Linked DNA regions of Saccharomyces cerevisiae S288C. Changing the gene in region 2 together with the main gene of any one other region gives a genetic interaction. Each region holds a gene or a part of one and is shown on either strand. Other genes may lie near its edges.

What was found.
Region 1: mutations in SNZ1 (region 2) and TPN1 are lethal when combined (synthetic lethality), as found in Saccharomyces cerevisiae (2 studies listed by BioGRID, with this or other methods).
Region 3: mutations in SNZ1 (region 2) and ALD6 together harm fitness more than expected from each alone (negative genetic interaction), as found in Saccharomyces cerevisiae (2 studies listed by BioGRID).

What each region holds. Positions count from the first base shown.
Region 1 is NC_001139.9:151,177-161,950, reverse strand, and holds the start of TPN1 (Tpn1p), read left to right. Parts: upstream 1-9,174; coding exon 9,175-10,774. Other genes in the region: serine/threonine protein kinase ATG1, read right to left, coding at 1-1,886; GTS1 (Gts1p), read right to left, coding at 2,855-4,045; MND1 (Mnd1p), read left to right, coding at 4,666-4,668, 4,752-5,408; cystathionine beta-lyase STR3, read left to right, coding at 5,939-7,336; YGL185C (putative hydroxyacid dehydrogenase), read left to right, coding at 7,645-8,784. UniProt on the Saccharomyces cerevisiae protein: Thiamine-regulated, high affinity import carrier of pyridoxine, pyridoxal and pyridoxamine.
Region 2 is NC_001145.3:452,761-462,947, forward strand, and holds SNZ1 (pyridoxine biosynthesis protein SNZ1), read left to right. Parts: upstream 1-5,647; coding exon 5,648-6,541; downstream 6,542-10,187. Other genes in the region: AIP1 (Aip1p), read right to left, coding at 1-719; snoRNA-binding rRNA-processing protein UTP15, read left to right, coding at 1,255-2,796; CTF13 (Ctf13p), read left to right, coding at 3,065-4,501; SNO1 (putative pyridoxal 5'-phosphate synthase), read right to left, coding at 4,525-5,199; putative GTPase MTG1, read right to left, coding at 6,664-7,767; ATP25 (Atp25p), read right to left, coding at 8,011-9,849. UniProt on the Saccharomyces cerevisiae protein: Catalyzes the formation of pyridoxal 5'-phosphate from ribose 5-phosphate (RBP), glyceraldehyde 3-phosphate (G3P) and ammonia. The ammonia is provided by a SNO isoform.
Region 3 is NC_001148.4:430,400-441,173, reverse strand, and holds ALD6 (aldehyde dehydrogenase (NADP(+)) ALD6), read right to left. Parts: upstream 8,587-10,774; coding exon 7,084-8,586; downstream 1-7,083. Other genes in the region: MFM1 (Mfm1p), read right to left, coding at 5,410-6,651; YPL062W (uncharacterized protein), read right to left, coding at 8,875-9,279; protein translocase subunit TIM50, read right to left, coding at 9,805-10,774.

The DNA.
Region 1 (10,774 bases), on a different chromosome or scaffold from region 2:
TTAGCCATGCCTTTTAATGTTGTTGATAATGGAACAATTTGAGAAAATTTCACTTCTGCATAAGAGTAAACAACAAATGCCTTTGCGGCCAGAGATTCCAAAATACTAACGATATTAGTATTATCTAATTTCAGTGTCTCTGGATGCTGTAGGTGATCTATTCTTAATATTATATTCTCAGTAAGTTCATGAAAAAGTTGGGAATTCAACAAAGTTTGACTGTACGGTGGGGAAGATGTGATTTGTTGCTGTTGCTGCTGTTGATTTGCACCACCAAACAATCTCGTTGATGCAATACCGAGGGCTCTTGATAATGCATTAGATGGATTCAGCGAGGATATAGACAAGCGTCTATCCACCAAAGATGGTCGCCTAGACCCATCACTACCTCCACTGGAAGATGATGTGGCCCTCAGTAACCTCGGATTTTCTCCTTGATTTTGAAAATACTGTTGATTGTTTGGAGAGAATTGCTCATTCAATAAGACGTTCTGATTTTGAGTTGAAGTTGGGTGCTTAATAGGATTTGGATTGAATCCTGCTTGAGCAACCTCGTCTGCCAATGAATTAACTTCAACCGATTTCTTCTCTACCACCACATATTCTCTTTCAAAGCTTCTATCTGAAACTAGGCTATTATGGTATTTATTATTTGAAGCCTTTTTATCTACGGCTTGTGTATGGTCTGTTTTAACGGCTGGGGCAGTTAATATATTGCTGTTCTTGAGGGCATCACTGAGCTCCGCGGGATTATCTGCCATTGATTGATGACCTGCAAGATTACTGTTCGGACTCTTTGGCTGTTTAGATAAATACTCAGAAACGAACATATTACTTTCTACAATACCTTTTGATTTGGATTCTAACTCAGGTAAATCATCTTCCAATTCATAAGAAGACAAGTCTTCGTTGACTACCTTGTTAGCAAAAAACTCCTCAAATCCTATTCTTTGGGCTGGATCAAATGTCAATAAACTACATATCAACTCTTTTAACTCTGGTTCAATATTGCAATATGAAGGAAACGTTATGACATCGTTTGCTCTTTTAATTTTCTTGAATAACTCCAAATGATTGGAAGCTCTAAACGGTGGGGTGCCACAGCACATTTCGAATACCACTGTACCGACAGACCACAGATCTGCTTTAGCGTTATATTTTTGATAATTCAAAATTTCTGGTGCCATATATAATGGTGAGCCACAAAGAGTTTCTGCTAATGACGTGTTTGGCAAAAATCTTGCAAACCCGAAATCTGCTATCTTTAAAATGGGTAAGTTGTAGATCCCAACAAATCCAAGTTCATGGAAGCTTTTTGAATCATGATATCCAATTAGGGGTGTAGATAATAGTAAGTTTTGAGGCTTGATGTCTCTATGAACCAAGTTTTTAGACCTCAAAAATTTCAAAGCGGACGCTAACTGCTGTAAATAACTCAAGACAAACGCTCTATGCAGGCCGTTATGGTTCTCACTCGGTGGAGGGTATTTTTCAAATACGGTCCTTAGTAGAGGATGATTCTCCATCAATTCTTTACGCCTTTTCAACAGAAATGTTAGGTCCCCAAGAGCACAGTACTCCATGATCAAATAAAAATCTGTTGATGTTCGTTCACAGTCAATAAGTCCGACGATATGAGGATGCTTGATTTTCTTCAAGATAGCGATTTCTATTTCCAAATTCTCTAGTAATTTCTTATTTTTTAATTTCGCCCTTGATACTTCCTTTATGGCTACATGCTGAGATTTGTCGGATGTCAGATGCCCTCTATATACAGTGGCAAACGAACCCTTTCCGATTTCTTTCTCAGCGGTGTAATTTCCTGCACTTGCCATTAGATTATGGTTCACAGAGGTTGTGTGATCTTTATTTTTAATGTCTCCCATTTTCTTAATTTCTCGTCTGGTGTTGTAAAAGAGATTTGAAAATATGGGGTAGCTTCAAATTCGTTTTGTGGAGATATCAATGATTATTCTCCTATCTCCTTTGCCTTATGTTTTTATTATATTATATGTTATTTTATTATGGGTACTATTACTACGATTGTATTATATCTTTTTATCTTCTATAGTACTGTTCTCTGTTTCCCCAGAAACTAAAAAGGGTAAAAGATGGCCTTGGTACTTAACTTAAAGGTGATGAAATGTGGCGTTCTAGAATTAACCTCGGCCTAAAAAATAAAAAGCTAAAAAAAAATAGTACGATCAGGAAGATATTAATAATATAAGCTCCTTTATGAGATGCTCGATTCCTTTTGTTGCCAACTAAATGACGCTTAGAATTCCATCGATTCCACGATCGATATAGTTACAAATCACAAACTGATGCTGATGGGGGAAATGGTTTAAGAAATCAGAGCCGAGCGGTTAAAAAGAAAAACAGATGCTTGAATACGAATGATATGCTTGCTTCTTTAACGGTATGGCTTTCCAGTAATAGTTACTCCGATAAGATTCATTACAGATACACGAAACGAACAAGGAAAAGATGATTAACGGGAAAAAAAGAGAGTTCCTTATCTCATTGATTTTAACTAGTGGGTTTTCCTTACATTACCGCCCAATCCCTTTTTTTTTTCTCGCTCTCACCGGCGGAGCGCGAGCGGAAAACGCCACCCAGGTGACTTTTGCGCTAAGTGTGGATCAAATACAGTGGTATTAGTCATTGATGTGCAGCGTAAAACGTCCGGAGCAGCTGTGTAATGCGGCTGTGTAGGGTGAATACAATAGAGAATATGACTAATTCTGGTATATAGTCGTTGTTTACAGATATCTTTCGTTACTTAGTGTCATTTAATTACTTAGTGTCACTCTATATGATATGTAATGCGGAGCAGCGGCAATGTATCTTATTTTTATTGTGTGTAGAAATAACCTTGTGGCAGGTTTCCTCCTTGCGACATTTGCTGAAAAGATAATGGCGCCTGTTGCTGTTGCTGCATCTGAAGCTGTTGCATCTGGATCTGCTGTGCTTGAGCCTGAGCCTGGGCCTGAGCCTGAGCCTGAGCCTGAACTTGAGCCTGTGCCTGTGCCTGTGCCTGAGCCTGAGCCTGTGCGACAGCAAGCTGTTGCTGTTGCTGTTGCTGCTGTTGCATAGCCATGGCGTATTGCTGCTGATCTACATATATCATTCCGGTAGCAGGATCGTAATACTGTTGAAGGGTACCATCGAAAACTGCTGGCTTTGCTTGTACAAAAGATGCTGAATTTGAAGTAAAATCTGGCGTGATTACATTTGTACCATCAAAAATAGCTGGCTGTGGGCCACTTGTTGTCGCACGTCTCCTGGGCAGGGGCGGAGTTGATGTTGTCGCTGCTGCCGATACACTATTTCTTGAACTTGAACTTTTTTCTAGATAATCGATTGCTCTATTGATATTTCCGTGAGCGGACGATAATGCATCTAAATTTTTGTTTGTATCACCGAAACCCATGTCCTTGAGTTCTGCCAGTTGCCTAGAATATCTGCTTCCACTGCTTTGGAATGAGTCCCTGGAACCGCCGTAGTCAGACCTATTATGGCCCCCTTTATAGAAAGAATGAGATCTGCTCCTGCTCCTACTTCTATTTCTTTCATCAAACCTGTCCGATTCCCCATCAAAATCATCCATTCTGGATCCAAAGTCTTCAGGCTTTATTTCATCATACCTGAATTTACCCAAAATATACTTGTCTCTAATGTAATGCTCCACGATGGCTTTGTCATCATCTCCATCAAAAGGAAAAGGGACATTTTTAGGATTCCAGAACCGAGCATTCCCCTTATTGCCTCCAAGACTCACTAATTCATCGATATCCTCTCTTGTCCATCTATCCATTGATAGTGATTTAACGTTAGAAAAGGCATCGTCGTCTCTGCTACCGAAAACTTTTCTATGAACAGAGGCACACCTACCACAAAGGAAAACCCCCAAATTAACTGAGCACCAAGTTGGGTAGAAATTACCACATTCACCGCATTTATTGGCATTCTCGGACGAATTAATCAACTCCTTTAATTCTCTGTCAACATGTTTTAAGCTATGGGAAGAACTCCTAAACCTCATTTTTGACTAAGTATAAATAAACTATAATCTGTGATTGACAGAACGCTGCCTCCATCTATATTAATGATTGATCAAGAGAAAATGTTCTTCTTCCACCCTTTTGTGAAGCATTTAGAGATCAACACTAACTTTCTTCAACTTACAATAATTTCCGGGTGCCCCCATTTATCGATTACCCGGATCCGCTTTGCATCATAGTGTGTCGTTGTCGAAACAAAAGCGCCGTATTATTTGGTCAACGTTTAATAAAGTAAAAGCAGCATTTGAGATGCTCTATACAACCTTCTTAATTGCAACCGACATAAAGGTATGTTTTTCTCTTCTTATTATGACAAGGGAAACTTGAAGAAGAATTCGTGTCTTGCCATAATTTCAGCATCATCGTCTCAACCTAAGCCTCTTCTCACGAAGGCACGCTCAAATATCTTTCTGGCTCTAAAAATCTTGAATAACGAACCGAATTTACCATCTTTCCTGCTTTTTTATGCGTCGAAAAAAAGTAAAATAACCGCCCAGATCACGAAATTGCATATAAAAGGCGATCTCCCGTCCCACCGTTATTCTTTGCGATATAGACTAAACGGCGGAAACTTTATGTGTAGTATCATAAACATTCAACAATGGTATGTCTAATAAAACCATCATGGTACACAGGACTGAACACTAACTTATAGACGGGTGCGTGCTACCCTCTTCTTATTATTAGGGGCCAAAGAGACAGACAGTATCACTCCAAGAGAAAAAGAACCGGATTCTGAACTTTTTTCAAGAGACGTACACATTCTACAACATCAAGGAATTAGAGAAAAGCATACCTAAAAAATGCGGAATCTCACCCATGATCGTTAAAGATTTAGTGCAACAAATGATTGATGAAGACGGCGTCATTTCGGTGGAAAAATGTGGTAATATTAACATCTACTGGTGCTTTAAAAATCAGACACTGCAAAAATTGTATGATTCAAGCGAGTTGATAAAAAAAAAGATACAGGAAGTAAAGTGTGATATTGCCACTTATAAACAAGAACTAGACAAAACGCTAGCAACTGGAAGGCGTAAAAAATTTACGGTAGGCCAAAAATCATACAATAGGGAGGCTCTACTGGAAAAGAGAAAAAAAATTCAGGATGAAATTAAGAAAAAGAGTAATAGTCTCCAAAAAATAGAAAGCATTAGATGGGATGCAGCAAAAATACAAGAGAATAAACAACAGATCCGCCTAAAAAAAGTGCATCTGGAGAAAACTACTGATAACATTGAGATTCTCATTGATTATTTATACAAGAAATTCTTTTTGAAGCCAGAACAGATAAGAAAAGAATTTGGAATTCCAGAAGAGTTCAAGGAATTTACGGAGGTTTAACCTTCATGCACTATACACGAAAGAACAAAAGTGTCTTGATTATTACATCTACATTTCCAGGCATAGAGCTTGCAGATTAGCCGCCCATAAATTTGCCACACTGTTTTCCGTGGCGCCACAGTCCGCGTTTGGTTATCCGGCTGACTCATTCTGACTCTTTTTTGGAAAGTGTGGCATGTGCTTCACACAATATAATTCCCGTGAGCACAGCATGCTTCGGGCCGAAGTCTGTTGGAGGCATATGCTCCTACCTTGGAAGACTCATCGCATCTCAAAAGTGTGTAAAGGGGCCTTCTGGCCATATATCCTCTGAGACCTGGTTGAAATGTGGCCAGAAGCAAAGCTGATAAAAACAACTGGCGCATACGTAGCTATATTTTAAATAAATAAATAAATAAATATATATATATATATATATATATATATACATATATATACAGTCATTGCCACACATCCCATAGCTCTGTGTGCTTACAGTTCATTAAAAACAAAAAATATCAAGCAAACAACAAAAGCATAGAAGCAAAAAGATGCCGATCAAGAGATTAGATACAGTTGTGGTAAATACCGGCTCTCAAAATGACCAACATTCAGCCTCCGTGCCACCGGTGTATTTGTCGACTACCTTCAAAGTGGACTTGAATAATGAAGATGCACAGAACTACGATTATTCCAGATCGGGAAACCCGACCAGAAGTGTCCTTCAACACCAGATTGGTAAGCTTTATCGTGTCCCACAGGAAAACGTATTAGCTGTGAGCAGTGGTATGACGGCGCTAGACGTCATCCTGCGTGGGCTCGTCTTACTTAACGGCACTGACAACCATACGCCAACAATAATAGCCGGCGATGATCTTTATGGAGGCACCCAAAGGCTGCTGAATTTTTTCAAGCAACAGAGTCATGCAGTCTCTGTTCATGTGGACACTTCCGATTTTGAAAAGTTCAAAACCGTTTTCCAGTCTTTAGATAAAGTTGATTGTGTTCTTCTAGAGTCTCCGACCAATCCGCTTTGCAAGGTTGTAGATATCCCTAGAATATTACGTTTTGTGAAATGCATATCTCCCGACACTACAGTTGTCGTTGATAATACTATGATGAGTGGACTCAATTGTAATCCTCTTCAACTGAATCCAGGCTGCGATGTCGTATACGAATCTGCTACCAAGTACTTGAATGGTCATCACGATTTGATGGGGGGTGTTATTATCAGCAAAACACCAGAAATAGCCTCGAAGCTTTACTTTGTCATTAATTCTACAGGAGCTGGATTATCCCCAATGGATTCTTGGCTACTTGTGAGGGGCCTAAAAACTCTAGGAGTTAGATTATATCAACAGCAGAGAAATGCTATGATATTGGCTCATTGGCTAGAAAATTCATGCGGATTCAAACCTACCAGAACAAACAAGGCTACGAAAACTAGATTTGTTGGATTACGCTCCAACCCGGATTTCAAGCTGCATAAATCGTTCAATAATGGCCCAGGTGCCGTGTTATCCTTCGAAACGGGGTCCTTCGAACATTCAAAGAGACTGGTCAGTTCCAAAAAACTGAGTATATGGGCTGTGACGGTATCTTTCGGGTGTGTAAATTCGCTTCTATCTATGCCTTGCAAAATGTCCCATGCTTCCATTGATCCCGAATTAAGGAAAGAGAGAGATTTTCCTGAAGATTTGGTTCGTCTTTGCTGCGGTATCGAAAATATAGTAGATTTGAAGAAAGATTTATTAGCGGCGATGGTTGACGCTGATATTATAGAAGTAAGAGAAAATGGCAAATATCTTTTCAACAAATTGAATAAGAACCTAGCTGTGAACACTACCATCGATGACCTGCATAAGCCTTTAAGTATTTACGAAGAATTTTACAATCAAGATCTCATCAGAAAGGACTCAGAATTGAATATTAAGAGTTCGAAATTGTAAGGGAAAATATGCATGTACCTTTTTTTTTTTTTTTTATAAGGTTCAAATCCAAAGATAGTAACTTTAAATAGTCAAGTATATAGACAGAATTTCAAGAACAGTAAGTATATTAAACTTTTACAGCCTTTCGGGCTGTTCCGTAAGCTCTTACTACTACCCTTGGGAAACGCACGCGCGAAGGAGGAAAGTTTGCCTCAATGAACGTGTGTAATGGCGGTCGTAAAAGGAATATAGAAATAGCTGTGCTTTTATAACTTCACTCGACAATGGGTTGACAGCAGATTTAGAAGGAAAAGAGCATACAAAAAATGTGCGATTCTCCTGCAACGACTGGAAAGCCTACTATTCTTTTCATCGCAGATCCGTGCGAAACATCAGCCACACTTAATTCCAAGGCATTCAAAGAGAAGTTCAGGATCTTGCGCTATCAGCTGGACACCAAAGAAGCATTTCTTAACTTTTTAGAAAGGCATGAACAAGACAAAATATGTGCCATTTATGCTGGGTTTCCGGCATTCAAAAAAATCGGTGGGATGACTCGAAGTATCATCGAACACAAGTCATTTCCAAGGAAAAATTTAAAATGTATCGTGCTTTGCTCAAGAGGTTACGACGGATGGGATCTGGATACATTACGCAAGCATGAAATTCGATTATACAACTACCAAGACGATGAAAATGAAAAATTGATAGACGATTTAAAGCTTCATCAAGTCGGTAATGATGTGGCAGATTGTGCCTTGTGGCACATTCTGGAGGGCTTTAGAAAGTTCTCCTATTACCAAAAACTTAGTAGAGAAACTGGAAATACATTAACTGCAAGGGCGAAAGCTGCAGAAAAGAGCGGATTTGCTTTTGGCCATGAACTGGGGAATATGTTTGCTGAATCACCAAGAGGAAAGAAATGCTTAATTCTTGGTTTAGGAAGTATTGGAAAGCAAGTAGCCTACAAGTTGCAATACGGGCTAGGAATGGAAATACATTATTGCAAAAGAAGCGAAGATTGCACAATGAGTCAAAACGAAAGCTGGAAATTTCATTTGCTAGATGAAACAATATATGCAAAACTATACCAGTTTCATGCAATCGTGGTCACATTGCCGGGAACTCCACAAACAGAACATTTAATCAACAGGAAATTTTTGGAACACTGCAATCCAGGCCTAATTTTAGTCAACTTGGGAAGAGGTAAAATTTTGGACTTGCGGGCTGTTTCTGACGCCTTGGTAACGGGACGAATCAACCATCTCGGTTTAGACGTCTTTAATAAAGAACCAGAAATAGATGAAAAAATCAGATCTTCTGATAGACTTACTTCAATTACTCCGCATTTGGGTAGTGCGACAAAGGATGTTTTTGAGCAAAGTTGTGAACTGGCATTGACAAGAATCTTACGGGTAGTGTCTGGGGAAGCCGCAAGCGATGAGCATTTCTCCCGTGTAGTTTGATAGTAAGAGACGTAAGAACCTTATGTTAACATACCTATATATACATATACGTCAACACACCAAGAAAAAAGAGCAGTGCGAGTTTTCGTATGCATTTGACTTCAAAAAGAAGTCAACATTAAGTGCCGTTTTTGTTTCGACAATGGATTGTAGTACAGTGCCCCGTAGGTGTATGACTCGTACTTGCGTGTAAGTAAATTTCGGATTTGTTCGCCGCACCTTATCTCACCTGAAATTTTCTGCGTCAGGCTGCTTTGATGGTGTCTAAGAGAAGGCCATTAAAAAAGAGAACAGATGTTGAGGTTCTCAGTATAAAAATATTACTGTTGAATATTATTAGCTTTATAGAGTATTTATCAAAGAACAGGACTTGAAAAACTTCGATCATAGATGAATAGGGACAACATGGACACAACAAAGCGCAAAGAAGATCATACAAAGCATACTACTGATGTAATAGAATTTTACGAAGAAGGAACCGCAGCTTCTTCTTTAAACATAGCCACAGAAAAGGCCAACTCAAGTCCGTCCATTTTGAGAAGAATTATCAACAGGGCGGCATGGCTTTCTAAGAAAGTGGACGCAATGGGAGTAGAGTCTACCGGTATTCAGAGGATATCTCCCTATGAACGAGGAACATCAAAGAAACAATTTTTGCATGTCGCGGGGCTATGGTTGAGTGCCACAGGTGGTTTGTCTTCCATGTCGTCGTTTTTATTAGGCCCTCTGCTTTTCGGTTTAAGCTTTAGAGAATCCGTAGCCTCCAGTTTAATATCGGTAACAATTGGTTGCTTAATTGCTGCCTATTGCTCGATCATGGGACCGCAGTCCGGTTGCAGACAGATGGTAACAGCTAGATACCTGTTCGGATGGTGGTTTGTTAAATTAGTTGCATTAGCTTCCATTATCGGTGTCATGGGTTGGTCTGTGGTTAATTCCGTGGTTGGGGGTGAAATGTTAGCTGCTATTTCTAATGATAAAGTACCCCTATGGGTAGGGATTGTCATAGTGACCGTATGCTCCTTTTTAGTTGCCATTTTCGGTATCAAACAAGTCATTAAAGTGGAAACTTACTTATCCGTACCCGTCCTGACAGCATTTTTACTACTGTACATTTCATCAAGTGATAAATACAGCTTCGTCAATGCATACGTTTCAAAGGGAAATTTGGACTCTTCCACCCGAAAGGGCAACTGGATGAGTTTTTTTTCATTATGCTATAGTATTACGGCTACTTGGGGGTCTATTACAGCAGACTATTATATATTGTTCCCAGAAGATACACCATATATTCAAATTTTTTGCCTAACGTTTTTTGGAACATTTTTGCCTACCTGTTTCGTCGGAATCTTAGGTCTCTTACTAGCTTCTGTTGCCATGTCGTATAAGCCTTGGTCAGTCGAGTACGATTCCCATGGAATGGGTGGTCTACTTTGGGCAGGTTTTCAGCGTTGGAACGGCTTCGGAAAGTTCTGCGTGGTAGTACTGGTATTCAGTTTGGTATCCAACAACATCATCAATACGTATTCGGCAGCATTCTCCATCCAACTTTCTAGTGTGTTTTGTGCAAAAATCCCTCGCTGGTTCTGGTCTATTGTTTGTACTATAATTTGTTTGGTATGCGCATTAATAGGTCGTAATCATTTTAGTACTATTTTGGGAAATTTCCTACCAATGATAGGCTACTGGATTAGCATGTACTTTATCTTATTATTCGAAGAGAATTTAGTATTCAGAAGGTTTTTCTTACATTTGTACACCAAAGAGTTTCCTACAGTTACAGGAGAAATAAATGGACCGGAACTTGTTGGATCTTCAAAAGAAGTGGAGAAAGATGCAGTTACTAATATCCATTTGTTAAAAAGAAAACATAAGGTGACTAAACATCGTTACAATTGGGACAAATGGGAAGATTATGAGGTTTTAACGCACGGTTATGCAGCAACATTTGCGTTTATTGTAGGAGTTGCTGGTGTGGTAGTTGGTATGG
Region 2 (10,187 bases):
TCACCTGATTTGCCATCAAAGCAAGAAATCTTTCTGTCAGACCCTACCGTAATAACAAATTCACCGCTGTCAGGTGAAAATTCAACATCCCTGACAAATGAGCCTTGTTTGTGGTGTGTTCTGTCACTGGCAGAGAACTTAAATGGAGGTCCTTGATAAAAGACAACAGATCCATCATCTCCAACTGTCATAGATCTCATAGGTCTAGATTGCTTCAAATGACAAGCATTGATGCGTTGTGAGTGACCTGAAACTTCACCTAAGGAATTACCAGAATCCCAGGATATGAAAACACCAAAGTTATCACGACCTTCTCCCACAACGCAGAGTCTTCGCCCTTCAAAATCCCAGGAGATATCGCTGATTGGACCTGCTAAAACTTGGAATTCAGACTTAACATTCACTTCAACAGAATTGCTTTCTTTGTCAAATGTCCATCCCCAAACAATCACTTTTCCAGATTCGTCACCGGAGCATAGGTACTGGGAACCCTTAATTGGAGAGAACTTTACCGTTGTGACTACCGAAGAGCCATGACCAGTAAATTGTACTACTGGAGGTACTTTACTGTCTCCATCGTCCAAACAACGTACAAATGCAGATTTTCCACATGGGTAAGCAATTGCGTTGGTTGTAGGGTCATACGATAAATGCGTAGTAAAGTTACGCTGTGTCGAAGGCTGAGGTGGTATAATTTCCTTCAAAGAGATAGATGACATTATTTTTGTTTACTTTGCTACTTTTGCCCGTTAATATACCTTAAAAACTGTATTTGCGAGTTGCAAAAGGCAGAATAGTGCTGAGTTGCTTCCCCTTATAATTAAATAATGATCATTAATCAAAGATCTGACATATATGCCTTCGGTAGAAAAGGTGGCAGGTTACAGGGTGAAAACATCCGTACATCATATACAATTCATTGTTTCGAAAACAAACGAACGGGACACTAGAGACCAATAAAAACGTTTCAGAACGTCTTGGTAGCGTTCAGTTCTGATTATGAACGGAAAGCAATAGCTAGTATTGATACACCTCCAGTTTCTAGTCATTCACCCCAAGTAAGCATAATATTTAACGTTCTGTGACCTACATACCTCGTAATTAGTGATAATTATCTTTTGAAAATTTTTGGAATAACTGAAAAATTTTGAAAACTTTCGAGCTTTGAAGAAAAAACGATGCCCATCACTAATAGAAGTCCCTTGAAACAGTTTTTGCTAAGAACAGGCCTAAGGATCATAATATAGAAATAAAATGTCGACTGCTAGGCCTAGAATAATCACTTCGAAGGCTCCATTATTGCCTCAACAGACTACCCCGGAGCAGCGTTACTGGCGTCAATACACTTCCGCACAACTGGTTAAAGAACATAATAGCGTTACTCACATATCATTCAATCCTCAACATCCTCATGATTTTGCAGTAACTTCCTCAACCAGAGTTCAAATATTTTCTTCAAGAACTAGGCAAGTGATCAAGACCTTTTCAAGATTTAAAGATGTTGTCTATTCTGCATCCTTTAGGAGTGATGGTAAATTGCTTTGTGCCGGTGATGCTACCGGTTTAGTGTCTGTATACGACAGTTATAATCCCAGGACTATCCTTTTATCTATAAACGCTTCCACACATCCCACACATGTTACGAAATTCCATACGCAAGATAACAAAATTCTGGCTACGGCGAGTGACGATAGAGTGACAAGACTTTGGGATATATCCAACGCATATGAGCCACAATTAGAGCTCACCGGAGCTACTGACTATGTTCGTACCTTATCATTTATCCCAGCAGCCCCACATTTGGTTGCAACAGGCTCATACGACGGTTTGATCAGATTATATGACACAAGATCTAGCGGATCCACGCCAATTTATTCTCTGAATCATGACCAACCTGTTGAAAATGTTATTGCAGTATCTCCAACCCAAATTGTTTCTTGCGGTGGCAATAATTTCAAAGTGTGGGACTTGACCAGTAACAAGAAATTATACGAACGTGGCAATTTCAATAAGGCTGTGACATGCTTGGACTATGTTGAAAATTTTGATTCTCCAATGCAATCGGCGTTGATCGCTTCTTCCTTAGATGGTCATGTCAAAGTCTTTGATCCTTTAGACAATTTCCAAGTCAAATTTGGCTGGAAATTTTCGGGTCCCGTACTAAGTTGTGCTGTCTCCCCTAGTACCGCACAAGGGAATAGGCATTTAGTAGCAGGTTTATCATCAGGACTACTAGCCATTAGAACTAAAAAGAAAGAGAAACGTTCTTCCGATAAAGAAAACGCACCCGCCAGTTTTAATAAGAATGCGAAAAGTAATAACTTCCAGAGAATGATGCGAGGCTCGGAATACCAAGGTGATCAAGAGCATATAATCCACAATGATAAGGTAAGATCTCAACGTCGTATGCGTGCATTCGAAAGGAACATAAATCAGTTTAAATGGAGCGAAGCACTCGACAATGCCTTTGTACCAGGTATGGCCAAAGAGTTGACACTTACTGTTCTTCAAGAACTACGCAAACGTGGCAAAGTTCGTGTAGCGCTATATGGTAGAGATGAATCTACATTAGAGCCGCTACTGAATTGGTGCTTAAAAGGTATTGAAGATGTGAGATCAGCATCTATTGTAGCGGATTGGGTCGCCGTGGTTTTAGAATTATATGGGAATACGTTAGAAAGCTCTCCAGTTCTTCAAGAATTGATGATAGATTTGAAAACTAAAGTTAGACATGAAATTCATAAGTCTAAAGAAGCTCAAAGAATTGAAGGTATGCTTCAACTTTTAACGAGTTAAGGAAATATTAGCATATAGATTTTAATTTGTATCTATTTTATAGATATTCAGGCATACATATATATCTCTTTCTCATTGTAATCGAAAAAAATAATATCTTCTCTTTTTATTGAAAAAAGGAACCTGTATAAATTTCATTTTAGAGTGCTTTGCATTTTGATACGTTTTCGCGTTTAACTACCTTCGAGGGCTTGAAAACAAAACATTGTGAGATGAGATGCTATCAACAGAAAGCTGACTGTGAGTCCCCAGAAGTCCATGTCGCTTGATGCCTTCTTTCAATCCTGTTAGATTCTTAGAGTTACCAATTGACATTAGAAAAGAAGTTTACTTCCATTTAGATGGTAATTTTTGCGGAGCACATCCCTACCCAATAGATATATTATACAAATCTAATGATGTGGAGCTTCCAGGAAAACCAAGTTATAAAAGGTCTAAGAGATCTAAGAAATTATTGAGATACATGTATCCTGTTTTTGCCACGTATTTGAACATTTTCGAATACTCTCCGCAACTCATTGAAAAATGGCTTGAGTATGCATTTTGGTTGCGCTATGATTGCCTGGTTTTGGACTGTTTCAAAGTAAACCATCTTTATGACGGAACGCTTATAGATGCATTAGAATGGACGTACCTTGATAATGAACTTCGACTGGCCTACTTCAATAAGGCCAGTATGTTAGAAGTTTGGTATACTTTTAAAGAGTACAAGAAGTGGGTGATAGACAGTGTTGCTTTTGACGAGCTTGACTTACTTAATGTAAGTAATATTCAATTCAACATTGATAATCTAACTCCACAACTAGTAGACAAATGCTTATCAATTTTAGAACAGAAAGATTTATTCGCAACAATCGGGGAGGTACAATTTGGACAAGATGAAGAAGTAGGAGAAGAGAAAGATGTTGATGTTAGTGGAGCTAATTCTGACGAAAACTCCTCACCTAGCTCCACAATTAAAAACAAGAAAAGGTCAGCATCCAAAAGATCACATTCAGATAATGGCAATGTGGGAGCAACGCACAACCAACTAACAAGTATTTCTGTTATAAGAACAATAAGAAGTATGGAATCCATGAAGAGCCTGCGGAAGATCACTGTGAGAGGAGAGAAATTATATGAGTTGCTAATAAATTTTCATGGGTTCAGAGACAATCCTGGTAAAACGATTAGTTACATAGTGAAACGTAGGATAAATGAAATACGCCTATCACGCATGAATCAAATTTCCAGAACCGGACTAGCTGACTTTACAAGATGGGACAACTTGCAAAAGCTTGTATTAAGTAGAGTAGCTTACATCGACCTGAATAGCATTGTCTTTCCCAAAAATTTTAAATCTCTGACAATGAAACGTGTAAGTAAAATCAAGTGGTGGAACATCGAGGAAAATATACTAAAGGAACTAAAAGTCGATAAGAGAACTTTTAAATCGTTGTACATAAAGGAAGATGATAGTAAATTCACAAAATTTTTTAATTTACGACACACAAGAATAAAAGAGCTTGACAAAAGTGAAATTAATCAAATAACATACCTTCGATGTCAAGCAATAGTTTGGCTATCTTTTCGGACTTTGAACCATATCAAGCTACAAAATGTATCTGAAGTTTTTAACAATATCATCGTACCTAGAGCATTGTTCGATAGTAAACGAGTAGAGATTTATCGATGTGAAAAAATCTCTCAGGTTTTGGTAATATAAAAATGTGGAAAACCGGCGGTATTTTAATTAGAAACAAACTGTCTGATAAACCAATCATGAAATCTTGTATCACTGTCAGCAAGCTCTGGATGAAAAGAAGTCACAAGGATATTATGATTTTGCGTTGCAGCTACAACCACATCCTTTCCATTCACTGGCAATTCATATAAACTTTTAACCGCGATAGGATCAAGAATTCTCTCGATCACGGGTGCGCGAATAAATGTAGCAGGAAAATTATCACAGCCAGGTATGAAATTGGAAAAATCACACTTTTGTGTAAAAGATTGAGCTTGTCTTCCAAATGCGTTTCTTCTCACGTCGACCTTCAACACACCTAAAGTCTTTACTAGGGCACTTTCGTTTTCTAATTGCGCGCTTAAAAAGATGAGACCAGCACAAGTACCCCAAACTACCTTTTCCGGATTATGAACAAATTCGTATAAACAAGGATATAAGCCTGTTCTTTGAGCGATGAGGGACATCGACGTAGATTCTCCTCCGGGAATAATTAAGGCGTCGCACTGGGCTAGATCCTCAGGAGTTTTTACAGTTTTGATTTCTATCTTTATTCCGTAGTCGTTTTCAGCCAAACACCTTTTTAAATGGTTGGTATGCTCCAAAAAGGCACCTTGCAACGCCAAAACCCCAATTACTTTCATCGACTTTCCGGACATTGTACTGTGGGTTTTGTGCATACTTTAAGATATGGTTTTTCTTTCTATTTAACGAAATGAAATAATAAGAAAAAAAAACCTGGTGGCATCAACGTGATTTTTGGAAGAAAGAATAAAACATTCAAAGAGTTCGTGACCAGTTATTGCTGATAAATGCCGTTTACTGACTCAGTTGGAATTTATGGCACTAGTTGGAATAGCTCATCATGACATAATGACTCAGCCGACAAGGGTAAGGGTTGAAAGCCGGGCTTTTTCACTACTTTTCAGGTAGCGCCGCCATTTCTTCATGACTCTGACACACTCTGCCGCACCGTTAGTTACGTCTGTAATTCTGGCTGCGAAGTACCATTTTCGATATAAATAGGAGGACGCTGAGAGCTATGGACGAAGTCTATGGTATTGTTGGAGAAACCTTTAGGAACGACTAGCAAATATACACAGTACTAATATTCAGTTAATTATCACGATGACTGGAGAAGACTTTAAGATCAAGAGTGGTCTCGCCCAAATGTTAAAAGGTGGCGTTATTATGGATGTTGTTACTCCAGAGCAGGCAAAAATAGCTGAAAAATCTGGTGCATGTGCGGTAATGGCATTAGAATCCATCCCAGCAGATATGCGTAAGTCAGGAAAGGTTTGCCGCATGTCAGATCCGAAGATGATTAAGGACATCATGAACTCCGTTTCCATTCCCGTCATGGCTAAGGTAAGGATTGGCCATTTTGTTGAAGCTCAAATTATTGAGGCATTGGAAGTTGACTATATTGACGAAAGTGAAGTCTTGACTCCTGCTGATTGGACTCACCACATTGAAAAGGACAAATTCAAAGTTCCATTTGTTTGTGGCGCTAAAGACTTAGGTGAAGCTTTGAGAAGAATTAATGAAGGCGCCGCTATGATTCGTACCAAGGGTGAAGCTGGAACGGGCGATGTCTCTGAAGCCGTCAAGCATATAAGGAGAATTACAGAGGAGATAAAGGCGTGCCAACAATTGAAGAGCGAAGATGACATTGCAAAAGTTGCTGAGGAAATGAGGGTACCAGTTTCTTTGCTGAAAGATGTTTTAGAAAAAGGTAAGTTGCCAGTAGTAAATTTTGCTGCAGGTGGTGTAGCAACGCCAGCCGATGCCGCATTGTTAATGCAGTTGGGTTGTGATGGTGTGTTTGTTGGCTCAGGAATTTTTAAATCATCTAATCCTGTAAGGTTGGCCACTGCAGTAGTAGAGGCTACCACTCACTTTGACAATCCCAGCAAATTGTTGGAAGTATCTAGTGACTTAGGAGAGTTAATGGGTGGTGTATCAATCGAATCTATTAGTCATGCTTCCAATGGAGTAAGACTTTCCGAAATTGGGTGGTGATTTCTTTGAACAGGTATTTTGAGCATTATAACACTTTTTCCCCCCTCAACTTTGTATTACTCGGTACACATTGTAAAATGATCTAATTATTAGATAAGCTTATGTATGCTGGATATTATTTACTAGAATACTTGATTGGGGTTCCCTTTTAGTTTGTTAGACAATCCCTCATACGAAAGATCTCCTAACTTTTCCAATTGATCATTTACATAGTTTTTATAAGAAAACTCGTCATTATTCAACAGTACCTCAGGGTCAAATATGATACCCTTTCCATGCAACCTCCATTTGTTAGTCCACTCGATAGCCGTTGATTTTTCATTTTGGCTTTTATTCACTTGAAGCCTTCTTAAAACATCATATATATCATTTGTGGGAGAATTGGTGCTTCCAGGGTAAAGCTCTGTTCTTCCATCGTTCAAATTTTGCAAGTTCATTAGGTATAAAAGGTAATCCGCTTGAAATATTGGATCTACAAGGTTATTTTTAACACTACCACACAACGCCAGTCCTAGCATTCTATTATGATCTGAAACGCGACCGGGAACACCGATTCCTGGAGTATCTATCAAGTATATTTCATTTCTTGATTCCGTATTCCGTGAAGTTACTCTAATAACCTCGCTTGTGGCTCTAGTAACACCAGCTTCTGCACCAGTTTTGGCTACTTTCTTAAATTTTCTTCCCATATTCACTTGATTGTGAAAAATTGTCCTCAAGCTATTTATTAAAGTAGATTTTCCAACATTTGGCATGCCAGTAATCAATGCTCGGTATCCCATAGGTAGATATCCGCCATTTGTTTCTAGTTCGTAATTTTGCCATTCTAGTATTTTTAGTAGATTCCTGACGTCAGTTTTGTTTCGGCAATCCAGTAAAATAAACTTTTCTCCCAGCTCTTCATGCCAATTCTTTAACTTTCCTATATATGGCTTATTGCCGGGCATAAGATCCTTTCTAGTGTATACCACTAATTTCATCACATCGTGTTCCTTTCTTGCTATTCGATCGAAAACCACATTCCTTGTAGATAACGGGGCACGTATATCACGTAGTTCTATTATCATATTCATTTGAGGAAGCAACTTTTCAAATGTTTTAAGAGCTTTGACTTGGTGTCCCTTGAAATCAGTGAGAGGCATACTGTACTTTGGAAATTCATATCTTGGTGTGAAGGATGAAACGTTGGAAATTATTTTCCTAGTTCCTCTCACATTTATGTGCATTTCTGTATTTGATTTGGCTTTTTTGCATTCAGGTCTGAGTAATGAGCATTATCATTCGTTCTTTCTTCTCCTAATAACTAAACCAAATTGTTTCGAAAAGACAAAAATTGTGTACTTTTGACATGATGGTCCGTGTTCTTTGATCTGCGGCAAAATGAACCTACCATGTGGCAGAATTAAATATTTGATTCAAATATAAATAAGGCGAACGACGAGAGATTAAGATATTATATACAGGTAATACTATTGATTGTTTGTTCCACGGACTAGGAATTCTTCCAATGTGGAATTCTCCATTCCAGCGGTTTTTAATAACGCTTTAATGGAGTTGCATAACTCCGGAGTTACGTTAACATTTAAACGTCTGATCCATAGCAAATGACCATTATTTACGATTTTCGATATAACGTGACTATCACCGCTTTGATTGATAACATTTATAAATTCATTCCAGGGCCTTTTGTCCTGACCTTCCCCTTCCGTTGGTGTGATAGCTTCCCAGACTTGAAGTAGCTTATTCCAGTCTTTGATTTTGGCCAAGTTTTGCAATATTGAGACAATCATGCCTGAAGTCAACTTATCTCCAAATGTTTGGAAAATGTGGTCTATTGTCTCGTAGAGTGATCTCAATTTTACCCGTTCATCCGCGACCATGGAATTTAAAAGAAGGGATATTACCACTTCATCGTAAACAACTGAGCCATCGTCCTCTGTTTGTAGACCTTTAAATAGGTTCAAAGCTCTGATAATCACCCTATTTTGCTTTACTAGGTTAAAGTATGAATGACTAGAATGCTGCGTTTTCAAAACCATTTCTAAAAGAGCGATTAGATCTTCCCTTATTAACTCTTGCCCCAACGATTTTTTTAAAAGTAGATAATCCTTGAGGAAAACACGATCTGAATAAAATTGTGGGTCTGCTTTGTTTAGAAGTATCGCATATTCTAGTCGTAGTGGCCAATATGCAGCCGATTGATTTATGGTTAAAAAAGTTGAATGTTCGTCAAATAAGGACTTCCATTGAACAACATCTACTTTCCTCTCTTGTCCTACCAAATCCTTTAAAGTATTTTTAACATGCTCCAAAGTACGTATATTGTGAGTTTCAGTACCACTACTACTCTGAATTATCTTATTGGCTCCTTTGAAGTCTTCCTTTTGTAGAAAGTATCTTAAATTACTTAGCCCGTTTGGGTTGATAGTTGAATACCTTCTCCTTTGCTGGGCCAGTCTTCTTAGGCCTAAAAGAATATTATTGTTGCTTGAAATTTCATTTACCCCTGAAATAGTAGGGACATTACCTGAATCTATATTTTGGAACTTAGATTTCTCATTTTCAGGTGCATACAGCTCTTCTAAATTCAATTCATTACGCCTTCTCTGTGTCAAAATATTTACAAAAATACCATCGACACGACAATCAATCATATACCAAGCCTCACTATTTAAGTCTTTTGCAGAGCATTCAGAGCTTCTACCTAATAGTTTACTAAGGTTGGATTTTCTTGCTAATCTTCTTTTTCTTCTACTTTCTTGTCGCTCATTAAAGTTTCCTTCAACGTATGCACTACTACAGAATTCGTGCTTCAAAAACTTGTTCAACTCTAAGAAACTTTTATGACAATGTTTGGTAGATCTTGCTGTACATATGACCATGAAGTCACCCAACTTATTAACGGCTGAAACAGAGTTTGGGCTTTTCTTCCGTAAATCGAAAACCAGGAAGTCATCCAGACCAAGTTTACCAGTTAGGAGGTCTGCTATTTTTCTTAATGAGTTTGGAGAGGTTTTAGGTATCTCCAATTCTTTGTTCATCGTGTGGTGGTTATTTTTCTTACCTTCCATTAGTTCCTTTTCATTGTCAACAATCCTGAGGTACCAAGGTGTTTCCAGAGGGGTAAAAGTAGACTTTTTGGATACACGACTTTGTTCATGACTGTCATTTTTGCCCTTTGTCGAGTAATAAACTGCTGTGATGTGACTATGAAGAAAATAAGGGCCCTTTTTGAATAATATGGTAAAAGGAATATTGGCCACGCCTATCCTCTTGCCATGGAAAGGTAGTAGACAGAATTTATTCATGTCAACAAACCTCAATTTTTGAATAAGCAGGCTATTACACTTAATCTTCACTTGGTGTCGATCTTTCTTAGTAGCTTAACTTGCTTTTTTTTTTTTTGGCTGAATGGTCCTCATTGTTTCTCTTTATCGGGATGAAAAGCATAATTATCAGAAGATTGCAAGTATATTAGAAGAGAGGTTAGAAAAAGATGTCAAGAAATACTAGTAAAAACAAATACCATTACTGTGTACTAGAGTACTATTTAAGAAAGACGGATTATTTCTAAAGTTACGATAGTTCGGATGATTGTGACCCCATTTCTAATAAAACCAATATTATCAGGTATATAGAAATGCTG
Region 3 (10,774 bases), on a different chromosome or scaffold from region 2:
ATGAACGAGTTAATTGAACGTCCTTCCGATGATTCAAAAATAAATGCAATAAAACCTACTTCTTCTCCTGGATTTAAACTAAATAAAAGGTCTATTACCTTGGAAGATGCTCATAAAAGAATGGGCCATACAGGAATTCAACAAATTGAAAATTCCATAAAACATAATCATTATGAAGAATCCCTTGACTTAATCAAAGAACCAAATGAATTTTGGTGTCAAACCTGTAAAATCTCTAAAGCCACGAAAAGAAATCATTATACCGGGTCTATGAATAATCATAGTACTGATCATGAACCAGGATCATCATGGTGCATGGATATATTTGGCCCTGTATCAAGTTCAAACGCGGACACTAAAAGGTACATGCTTATTATGGTGGATAACAACACGAGATATTGCATGACCTCCACACACTTCAATAAGAATGCTGAAACTATTTTAGCTCAAATCAGAAAGAATATTCAGTACGTGGAAACACAATTTGACAGGAAAGTCAGAGAAATTAATTCAGACAGAGGTACTGAATTCACAAATGATCAGATAGAAGAATATTTTATTTCAAAAGGAATACATCACATACTTACTTCTACACAAGATCATGCTGCTAATGGAAGAGCAGAAAGATACATCAGAACAATAGTAACTGATGCAACAACACTCCTAAGACAAAGTAACTTAAGAGTAAAATTTTGGGAATACGCAGTAACTTCTGCTACCAATATAAGAAATTGCCTGGAACACAAAAGTACAGGTAAACTACCATTGAAGGCAATCTCACGTCAACCTGTTACAGTGAGATTAATGTCATTCTTACCATTTGGCGAAAAAGGAATAATTTGGAATCATAATCACAAAAAATTGAAACCATCTGGACTTCCTTCTATAATTCTATGCAAAGATCCAAATAGTTATGGATACAAATTCTTTATACCATCCAAAAATAAAATTGTCACATCTGATAATTATACAATTCCCAACTATACGATGGACGGTAGAGTAAGAAATACTCAGAATATTTACAAGAGTCATCAATTCAGTTCACATAATGATAATGAAGAAGATCAAATCGAAACGGTCACAAACTTATGTGAAGCTTTGGAAAACTACGAAGATGATAATAAACCAATTACTCGCCTGGAAGATTTGTTCACAGAGGAAGAGTTATCTCAAATAGACTCAAACGCAAAATACCCATCTCCTAGTAATAACCTAGAAGGGGACTTGGATTACGTATTTTCTGATGTTGAGGAATCTGGAGATTATGACGTTGAATCTGAACTTTCAACGACAAATACTTCAATCTCAACTGATAAAAACAAAATTTTGTCAAACAAGGATTTTAATTCAGAACTTGCATCGACTGAAATATCCATCAGTGAAATCGATAAGAAAGGATTAATAAATACAAGTCATATTGATGAAGATAAGTATGATGAAAAAGTCCACAGAATTCCATCGATTATACAAGAGAAACTGGTAGGAAGTAAAAATACTATTAAAATCAATGACGAAAACAGAATCTCCGACAGAATTCGTAGTAAAAATATTGGGAGTATCTTAAACACTGGACTCAGTAGATGTGTAGATATCACCGATGAATCTATTACTAACAAAGATGAGTCAATGCACAACGCAAAACCCGAACTAATTCAGGAGCAGTTCAATAAAACAAATCATGAAACTTCGTTTCCTAAAGAAGGGAGCATTGGAACAAAATGTAAAATTCCGAAATACAGACAATGAGATTTCTTTAAAAACAGGCGATACGAGTTTACCAATAAAAACTTTAGAAAGCATTAACAATCACCATAGTAATGATTATTCCACAAACAAAGTTGAAAAGTTTGAGAAGGAAAATCATCATCCGCCCCCGATTGAGGACATTGTGGATATGAGTGATCAAACTGATATGGAATCAAACTGTCAGGATGGTAATAACTTAAAAGAATTAAAAGTCACCGATAAAAATGTACCAACTGACAATGGAACAAATGTGTCACCAAGGTTGGAACAAAATATTGAAGCATCTGGATCACCAGTACAAACAGTTAATAAAAGTGCCTTCTTAAACAAAGAATTCAGTTCTTTGAACATGAAAAGAAAACGGAAAAGACACGATAAAAACAATAGTCTAACAAGCTATGAATTAGAAAGAGATAAGAAGCGTTCAAAAAGGAATCGAGTGAAATTAATTCCAGATAATATGGAAACAGTTTCAGCACAAAAAATTAGAGCCATATATTATAATGAAGCTATTTCAAAAAATCCTGACCTCAAAGAAAAACATGAATACAAACAGGCATATCATAAAGAATTACAGAATTTAAAAGATATGAAGGTATTTGATGTCGATGTGAAGTACAGTAGATCAGAAATCCCTGATAATTTAATAGTACCCACCAACACGATATTCACAAAGAAAAGAAATGGGATTTATAAGGCTAGGATAGTCTGCAGAGGTGATACTCAGTCACCAGACACTTACAGTGTAATAACTACAGAATCTTTAAATCACAATCATATTAAGATATTCTTAATGATTGCAAACAACAGAAATATGTTTATGAAGACCCTGGATATCAATCATGCATTCCTATATGCTAAATTGGAAGAAGAAATATACATCCCACATCCGCATGATAGGAGATGTGTAGTCAAGCTAAATAAGGCGTTATATGGTCTAAAACAGAGTCCTAAAGAATGGAATGATCATCTAAGACAATACTTGAATGGAATTGGACTGAAAGATAACTCTTATACTCCGGGATTATACCAAACCGAGGATAAAAATCTAATGATTGCAGTCTATGTTGATGACTGCGTAATTGCGGCAAGCAATGAACAGAGATTGGATGAATTCATAAACAAATTGAAAAGTAATTTTGAACTGAAAATTACAGGAACATTAATAGATGATGTACTCGATACAGATATATTAGGAATGGATCTAGTATACAACAAAAGACTTGGTACTATCGATTTAACATTAAAATCATTCATAAATAGAATGGATAAAAAATACAACGAGGAATTGAAAAAGATTAGAAAAAGTTCAATTCCGCATATGTCAACTTATAAAATAGATCCTAAGAAAGACGTACTGCAAATGTCAGAAGAAGAGTTTAGACAAGGTGTTCTAAAGCTACAACAATTACTAGGTGAACTAAACTATGTCAGACACAAATGCAGATACGACATTAATTTTGCTGTTAAGAAAGTGGCTAGACTAGTAAATTACCCACATGAAAGAGTCTTTTATATGATTTACAAAATAATCCAGTACTTGGTTCGGTATAAAGATATTGGAATACACTATGACCGAGACTGTAATAAAGACAAGAAGGTTATTGCTATAACTGATGCATCAGTTGGATCAGAATATGATGCTCAATCAAGGATTGGAGTTATATTATGGTACGGTATGAATATTTTTAATGTTTATTCTAACAAGAGCACAAACAGATGTGTATCATCAACAGAAGCAGAGCTTCATGCCATTTATGAAGGCTATGCAGACTCAGAAACGTTGAAGGTAACATTAAAGGAGCTAGGAGAAGGAGACAATAATGACATTGTCATGATCACTGACTCAAAGCCAGCCATTCAAGGATTAAATCGCAGCTATCAACAACCAAAAGAGAAATTCACTTGGATAAAAACTGAAATAATAAAAGAAAAAATTAAAGAGAAGAGTATAAAACTGTTAAAAATTACCGGCAAAGGTAATATTGCTGATTTACTAACAAAACCAGTATCAGCATCTGATTTTAAAAGATTTATACAAGTATTAAAAAATAAAATAACATCACAGGATATTTTGGCCTCAACAGACTATTGATAATTAATTAATGAAGTTCTAAACACACAATGAATATCTGTTGAAGTACAATAATATATCTTTAAGGGAGCATGTTGGAACGAGAGTAATTAATAGTGACATGAGTTGCTATGGTAACAATCTAATGCTTACATCGTATATTAATGTACAACTCGTATACGTTTAAGTGTGATTGCGCCTATTGCAGAAGGAATGTTAAACGAGAAGCTCAGACAATACTGAAGCTGTGTTAAAGACCTATTAGTTGAACATGATATGGTAGGTACATATATGAGGAATATGAGTCGTCACATCAATGTATAGTAACTACCGGAACCACTATTATATTGGTCATGATTAATATGACCAATCGGCGTGTGTTTTATATACCTCTCTTATTTAGTATAAGAAGATCAGTACTCACTTCTTCATTAATACTAATTTTTTACCTCTAATTATCAACATTGATAATAAATTTGCTCATGTCATGGCCCACAAGTTTTTATCCCACAATGAAACATTTTATTATAGCTAAATACGTCATTCTAAACTTAAGAAACCATCTCTATGTGTGAAACGCATGAATTATATAAAATAACTACTGAAATATCTTTGTTACTGATGAGAAATAGATGAATCGTAGATAACTGTGAGGATTCCGTTGTTGTTAAAGACTATAATATCAGGTATACAGAAAATGTTAGAAGTTCTCTTCGAGAATATAGAAATCGACAAAAGGGGTCGGCAGTTTTACATAAATAATTTATGGAATAAATTCAACTATCGTCTATCAACTAGTAGTCATACTACCAGTATATTATCACATACAGTGTAAGAAGATAACATAAGGGATGAGAAACTGTCATCGAAGTTCGAGTAAGTTGAAATTCAACGATTAATGCAACGATTGATAATATAGCAGGATAATGAAACATATAAAACGGAAGGAGGAATAATAGTAATATTATTTGTAGAAAAATCGATTCCCCTTTGAAAATTTCTATATCCTCGAGGAGAACTTCTAGTATATTCTATATACCTAATATTATTGCCTTTATCAACAATTAAATCTCAACAATTATCTCAAAATTCATCAATTTCTCAATGATATCATTTTTTCTTCCTTCTTTTTATACTTTGTGATTCATTATCCTATTATATAATCAATCCTTTCATTTCACTTTCATTAAACTTGATGACTGTTTCTCAATCCTTATCTCATCTTCTTACACCGTATATGATAATATACTGCTAATATTTCTAGTAGTCAGCATGATATTTGATTTTCACCAATCAACCACAAGTCCTGACAGGAAGTTATTATTTAACCACATTACTGTTGCGTGGATAAGTGTTATTATTCTATTGCCTTAAAACTATACAACAAAAGCTCGTATGGCGCAGTGGTAGCGCAGCAGATTGCAAATCTGTTGGTCCTTAGTTCGATCCTGAGTGCGAGCTTTCTTTTTTTCCAAAGAATTTTAATTATATACGTTCGCCTGTACGGCTTTTTATATACTTAAAAAAGTGAAAGTTGTTCTTATTCATTTGAATGCGTATTAAAAAGATTGATTGACTCTTCGTGATAACTATTTCTTCAACAGTTCGTGAACGGAATCTGTTTTTATTTTACTCAATAATGTCATACGTTGTAATTTATGCAAATGTCTGATTCCCTTCGCATAGAGCCAAACAGTAGATATTAACCCCAAAATGGTGACAGTTAAATACGCATAATTACTTTCTTCTATGAAACTTTCCAGATTCATACCATAGATAGAACCCAGGAATAGAGCGCCTCCCAACGAAAGCATTCCTATGGCGTATCTTATCCCTAACAGCATTAATTCGTTTCTGTTAGAATCTAGGATTATATTGATGATTTCTTCTGTGGTTTTCACGTCAGATATGGCGCTTTCGCTTTTCTGAACTATTTCATCGACATAGTTATGATATGTTTCCAGAAGCATTTCAATTTCAGTATGATCATCTTGAACTCTAATTTTTCCAGCCTTTTTGTCGGTTAAGTACATATCACAAAGCATATCGTCTTGCTCTAGCAAGTCATCCAGCATATCTTTAACTAGAACAGCCTTTTTATTGAAGCTGCTCAATTTTTTGTTTTGACCCAGTAAGAACCTTAATTTATCTCTTGTTATACTAAATTCTAGATCTTGAAGCACCCCCTTGCATATGGTTAGCAACACCTTCATTTCACTGGTAAGGTTAGATAATGCCGAAATGAAGATCGTTTCTAAAGCTCTGAATTCATAAGGAAGTGGATCGCTATTTAGCTCGCTTGTTTCTTGATTTTTTAGTCTCAATTTCATATCGTTAATAAAATCCTTGTGAGCTTCTGAGTTTAAAGTTATTCCACTGCCGGCTGAATCGAAGATAATAACCATATCAGGCTTAATTAGGGCTTTCACAGTAAGTAAACTGATTAGTATGGAATTTTCTCGCACGAGCAAACTAGGGACTAAGTCATTCTTCCTTGATTTTTCAATTTTACGTAGATCTCTGGGCAACAAGCCATGTTTTGATACTAGATCCTCACGTTTTATCTCTACTAATGGTGATTTGGCTCGTCCAGTTGAGTCTAGCAAAGTACATCGTATTGTCCCTGATCCATACCCATAGAGCATGTTGTTTCTTTGGATCAAGTTTTTCTGTAGTAGCATTGCAGCGGTATTGTCAGGGTCCACCTTAGGCATTTGCCTAGAGAAATCAAAAGAAGAAAGTGATGAACCAAAAAGCCTTACTGTTCGAAGAAGGATGTTATTATATGATCTCTGATGGCGAAATGGCAGTACTCGGGGGAATGCTCTCATGTGTACCTTTTGATTGGAATTGGTTCGCAGTGTTTATGTTATATTAGCTCAATGTGCTCCCTGTATTTTATATATGAAACAAGTCTTTGTATTGCTATTTTTTTCAAACCTTTTTCTCAACTCTAAAAGCGGTCCACGTTAGTTTTCTTTGGATATAGCAGTTGTTGTACACTAGCTTAAGATGTAAAATTCAATTCAATATGATTTTGTGTGGGATGTTTTAAAGAAGGCACAAGCCTGTTCTCTCTTTTTCTCTTTTTTCATGGATTGTATCGCTTAAAAGGGAGAAATGAAGTAAACGATTCTTTTTGTAAAAATATAAAACCAAATTTTTTAATTTATATGTATACATATTTATTTATGACGTAAGACCAAGTAAGTTTATATGAAAGTATTTTGTGTATATGACGGAAAGAAATGCAGGTTGGTACATTACAACTTAATTCTGACAGCTTTTACTTCAGTGTATGCATGGTAGACTTCTTCACCCATTTCTCTACCGTAACCAGATTGCTTAACACCACCGAATGGAACTCTGGAGTCAAAATCGTTGTATGTGTTGATCCAGACGGTACCGGCCTTCAACATCTTGGCCACCTTCAAACCTGTGCTCAAAGATTCTGTTTCGATACCAGAACCTAGACCGAATTCAGAGCTGTTAGCCATTTCGACACCTTCTTCTAAAGTCTTGAACTTTGCGACAGTGACAACTGGTCCAAAAATTTCTTCCTTAACAATTCTCATGTCTTCATTAACATCGTAGAAAACGGTTGGTCTGATGAAGTAACCCTTGTCACCAACTTTTTCGCCACCAGTTAAGATCTTGGCGCCTTCTTTCTTACCGATATCGATGTAGTTCATAATTGTGTCGAATTGTTGACGGTTAGTGATAGCACCTTGGAAGTTAGCCTTGTCAAATGGATTACCAACTTTGATTTCGGTTTCCAAGTAAGCCTTGAAAGCAGCCAATAGTTCGTCGTAAATACCTTCTTGAACGTAAATTCTAGAACCAGAGGAACAAATTTGACCAGCGTTCTTGAAAATACCGTTTACTAGATTTGGTAAAGTCTTCTTAATGTTAGCATCGTCAAAGACCAAATGGGCGGACTTACCACCTAGTTCCAAAGTGATTTTCTTCAAGTTAGATTCAGAAGAGTCGACAGCAACACTCTTACCGACTTCTGTAGAACCGGTAAAAGCCAGCTTTCTGATTCTTGGGTCGTTGGTCAAAGCAGCACCAACAGTTCTACCAGGACCTGGAACGATGTTGACGACACCAGCTGGAATACCAACCTTCTTACATAAAGAAGCAAAGTATAGGGCATTTAAAGGTGTGACAGCAGCGGGTTTCAAGATACAGACGTTACCCATGGCCAATGCTGGGGCGATCTTCCAAGCCAACATCATTATTGGAAAGTTCCATGGAATAATTTGACCACAGACACCGATTGGCTCTAAGGTGGTGAAGTTCATGTAGCCGTCACCGGTGTTGATTGTTCTACCGTTGACTTTGTCGGCATAGGCAGCAGCATCTCTTAGACAGTTGATTGCAATGGTAACATCCCCACGGGCTAAGGCCAAAGTTTTACCATTGTCCAAAGCTTCAATGGAAGAAACCAAGTCAATTTGGCTTTCCAATTCGTCAGCCAACTTACTTAGTAGACGGCCTCTTTCTCTTGGGTCTTGGGTAGCCCATTCAGTGTCGTGGAAAGCACGGTCGGCACATTCGATAGCATATTCAACATCTTCAGTGGTGGCAGAAGAGACCTCACAAACGGTGTTTTCAGTGGAAGGATCTTCGACGGGATAGGTCTTACCGTCTTGAGCTTTCATAAACTTGTTGTTAATGAATAGACCGGTTGGTTGCTCGTATGTCAAACCATTTGGAAGTGTGATCTTGACTGGTTCAGCAGTGTCAAAGTGTAGCTTAGTCATTGTATTCTGATAGTATGTGTTTGTGTATGTTAAAGATGTTTCTTGATGTTTTTTCTTCTATAAAACAAGAGAAGTAAAAGACTGAACACTTCGAATTGAATATTACCAAACTTCTTATTACATTTATATATGATATCAAGAACTTGTTAAACACGCCAGGCTTGACCTCGAACGGTGTTTTGATGTGTTACTCAACCGTTAAATCGCTGTTTGAGCTGACTAACAAGGTTGCTTGTCTTGAATCCCCCTCACCCCGAATTTATTACGAATTTGCCCACATGGTCGGTGCTATATCGCATTCGTTGCACTCACCGTTCCCAAGAGGAGATCAATGTTACATACGTTCCCGATGCCCAAAACGGTAAAGTTAAAGCGATATAGAAGCTGGATGCATATCTTTTTACACGTCCGCGGCGCGCCCACCCTCTTTTTTCTTTCTGGTTCCTTTTCGGTCGTTTTTCTTTTGTCGGCTGCCTTATTCCCGTGGGGATGAGGCGAGCGCCGTTTCGGCTTGGATACGCCATATGCAACAATGACGTCTCGGTGCTGGCCATGCCCCTCATTTATGTCGAAAAACAGGCCACTGCCCCTCTTTTCTGCGGCCCGGGCAAGAGGAGACCTCATCAGCCACGGCGACGTGCTGGTTGCTTCTACAATGGTATCTTCACCTTTTACATAATCCAATTCTATCATGCCCTTACGTGAGGGGCAGTGTCGTATGTGACGGCAGTTCCTGACCTGATAGTGTGTCTATTTGTCTGTTAGCGTCCGCGGAAAGTTGTGAGTACGGTTTTTAGTTTAGTTTCCACCCGGGATTATACTTTTGGCTACCCTGACTGGAAGGCGGCGGCCTTATATTCGAATGAACATGCCAGGCATTGTACGAATTGAAACTTTTTTCGTATGACGTTACGAATAATTCCATTCGGCCTAAATATTCTTTTTTTTTGGATTTTTATGCTAGTGAAGGAATATGAGATATGCAAAGCGCATCAGATCATTAGGTGTGTCTACATCGTTAAAATTTAACATAGAAAAAATAAATAGGCGTGTTTGTACGTAGTATGGTGATGTTAGGAGGTGCAGTGGTAGTAAGTTAGCAATATACATAAGTTTTATTCACATGACAGTAACAAAATGAGGGTGTGGGGAGTGTACAGGTACATTTACATACACACATAGATACGTAGATACATGAGAAGAGGGTTTACATGAAAATTATTTGGATTCAGCAATCTTCTTCTTTTTCTTTTCCTCTTCAAATAAGGCGTCTACCTCCTTCTGCTTCTCCAATTGTATTTTCATTTGTTCTTCTGGCGAAGGCAAGTTACCTTCAACATAGTCTTTCAGCGTAAATGTTTGCCCGCCCATTTGCTCCTGCTGTATTCTAATTTTTTCCTTTTCTTCCTCAATCATCTTCATGAACATTAAATAGTTCTTTTGTCCTTCTTCATGAATCAAATCGAGCGGGAACTTGGTGCTGCCGCCCAGGGAATTTCCGAGACCTAGTGCCGTCATTGCCCAGTTGCCACCAGATTTATGATCTCCGTAAAATTTATCCTTCAATTTTTTCACACGATGATCAAATTCTTCTGCTAGGTTCTTCTTGTCTTCAAAGCTGTTCAAGATTGGTCTAACATCCTTGGTTTGTTGAGTGGCAAGGTACTCCAAAAATGGAATCAATCTTACTAATTTGTCATCAGCTTCACCATTCCATGGCTCCATTGGAATAGCATTTTCAGGTTGCAATTTGTAACTGTTAGGGTCAGTGTCAATAATGATTACTTTACTCAAATCTCTATTCAATTTTGACAGATCCTTAATGTGCACACCGTCTTTGTAAACACAGTGTTCCTTGAACAAATTATAAGATACGAATGCATGGATTGGATCTAATTTTTCAGCGATTTTGTCAGAGTACATCATATAGTTGGATGAAAACAAAACAATTTCGTAATACTGCGATAGGTAACCCAAGAAGTAGTCAGCACCAGGTCTTTTGGCCGTTCTCCAACCATGCTTTTGAGACCACTCAGAATGAACCAAAAAATCTTCCAATGTGATAACAAGAGTTAATGGCCTTTGGTACGGTGGTGGTGGTGGTGGAGGTAGTAAATCAGGGAAAGGTGGCTCTTGGAAGTAGGTGAACATTGAGTTGAACCTGGCCTTGAATCTTTTATACATAAGT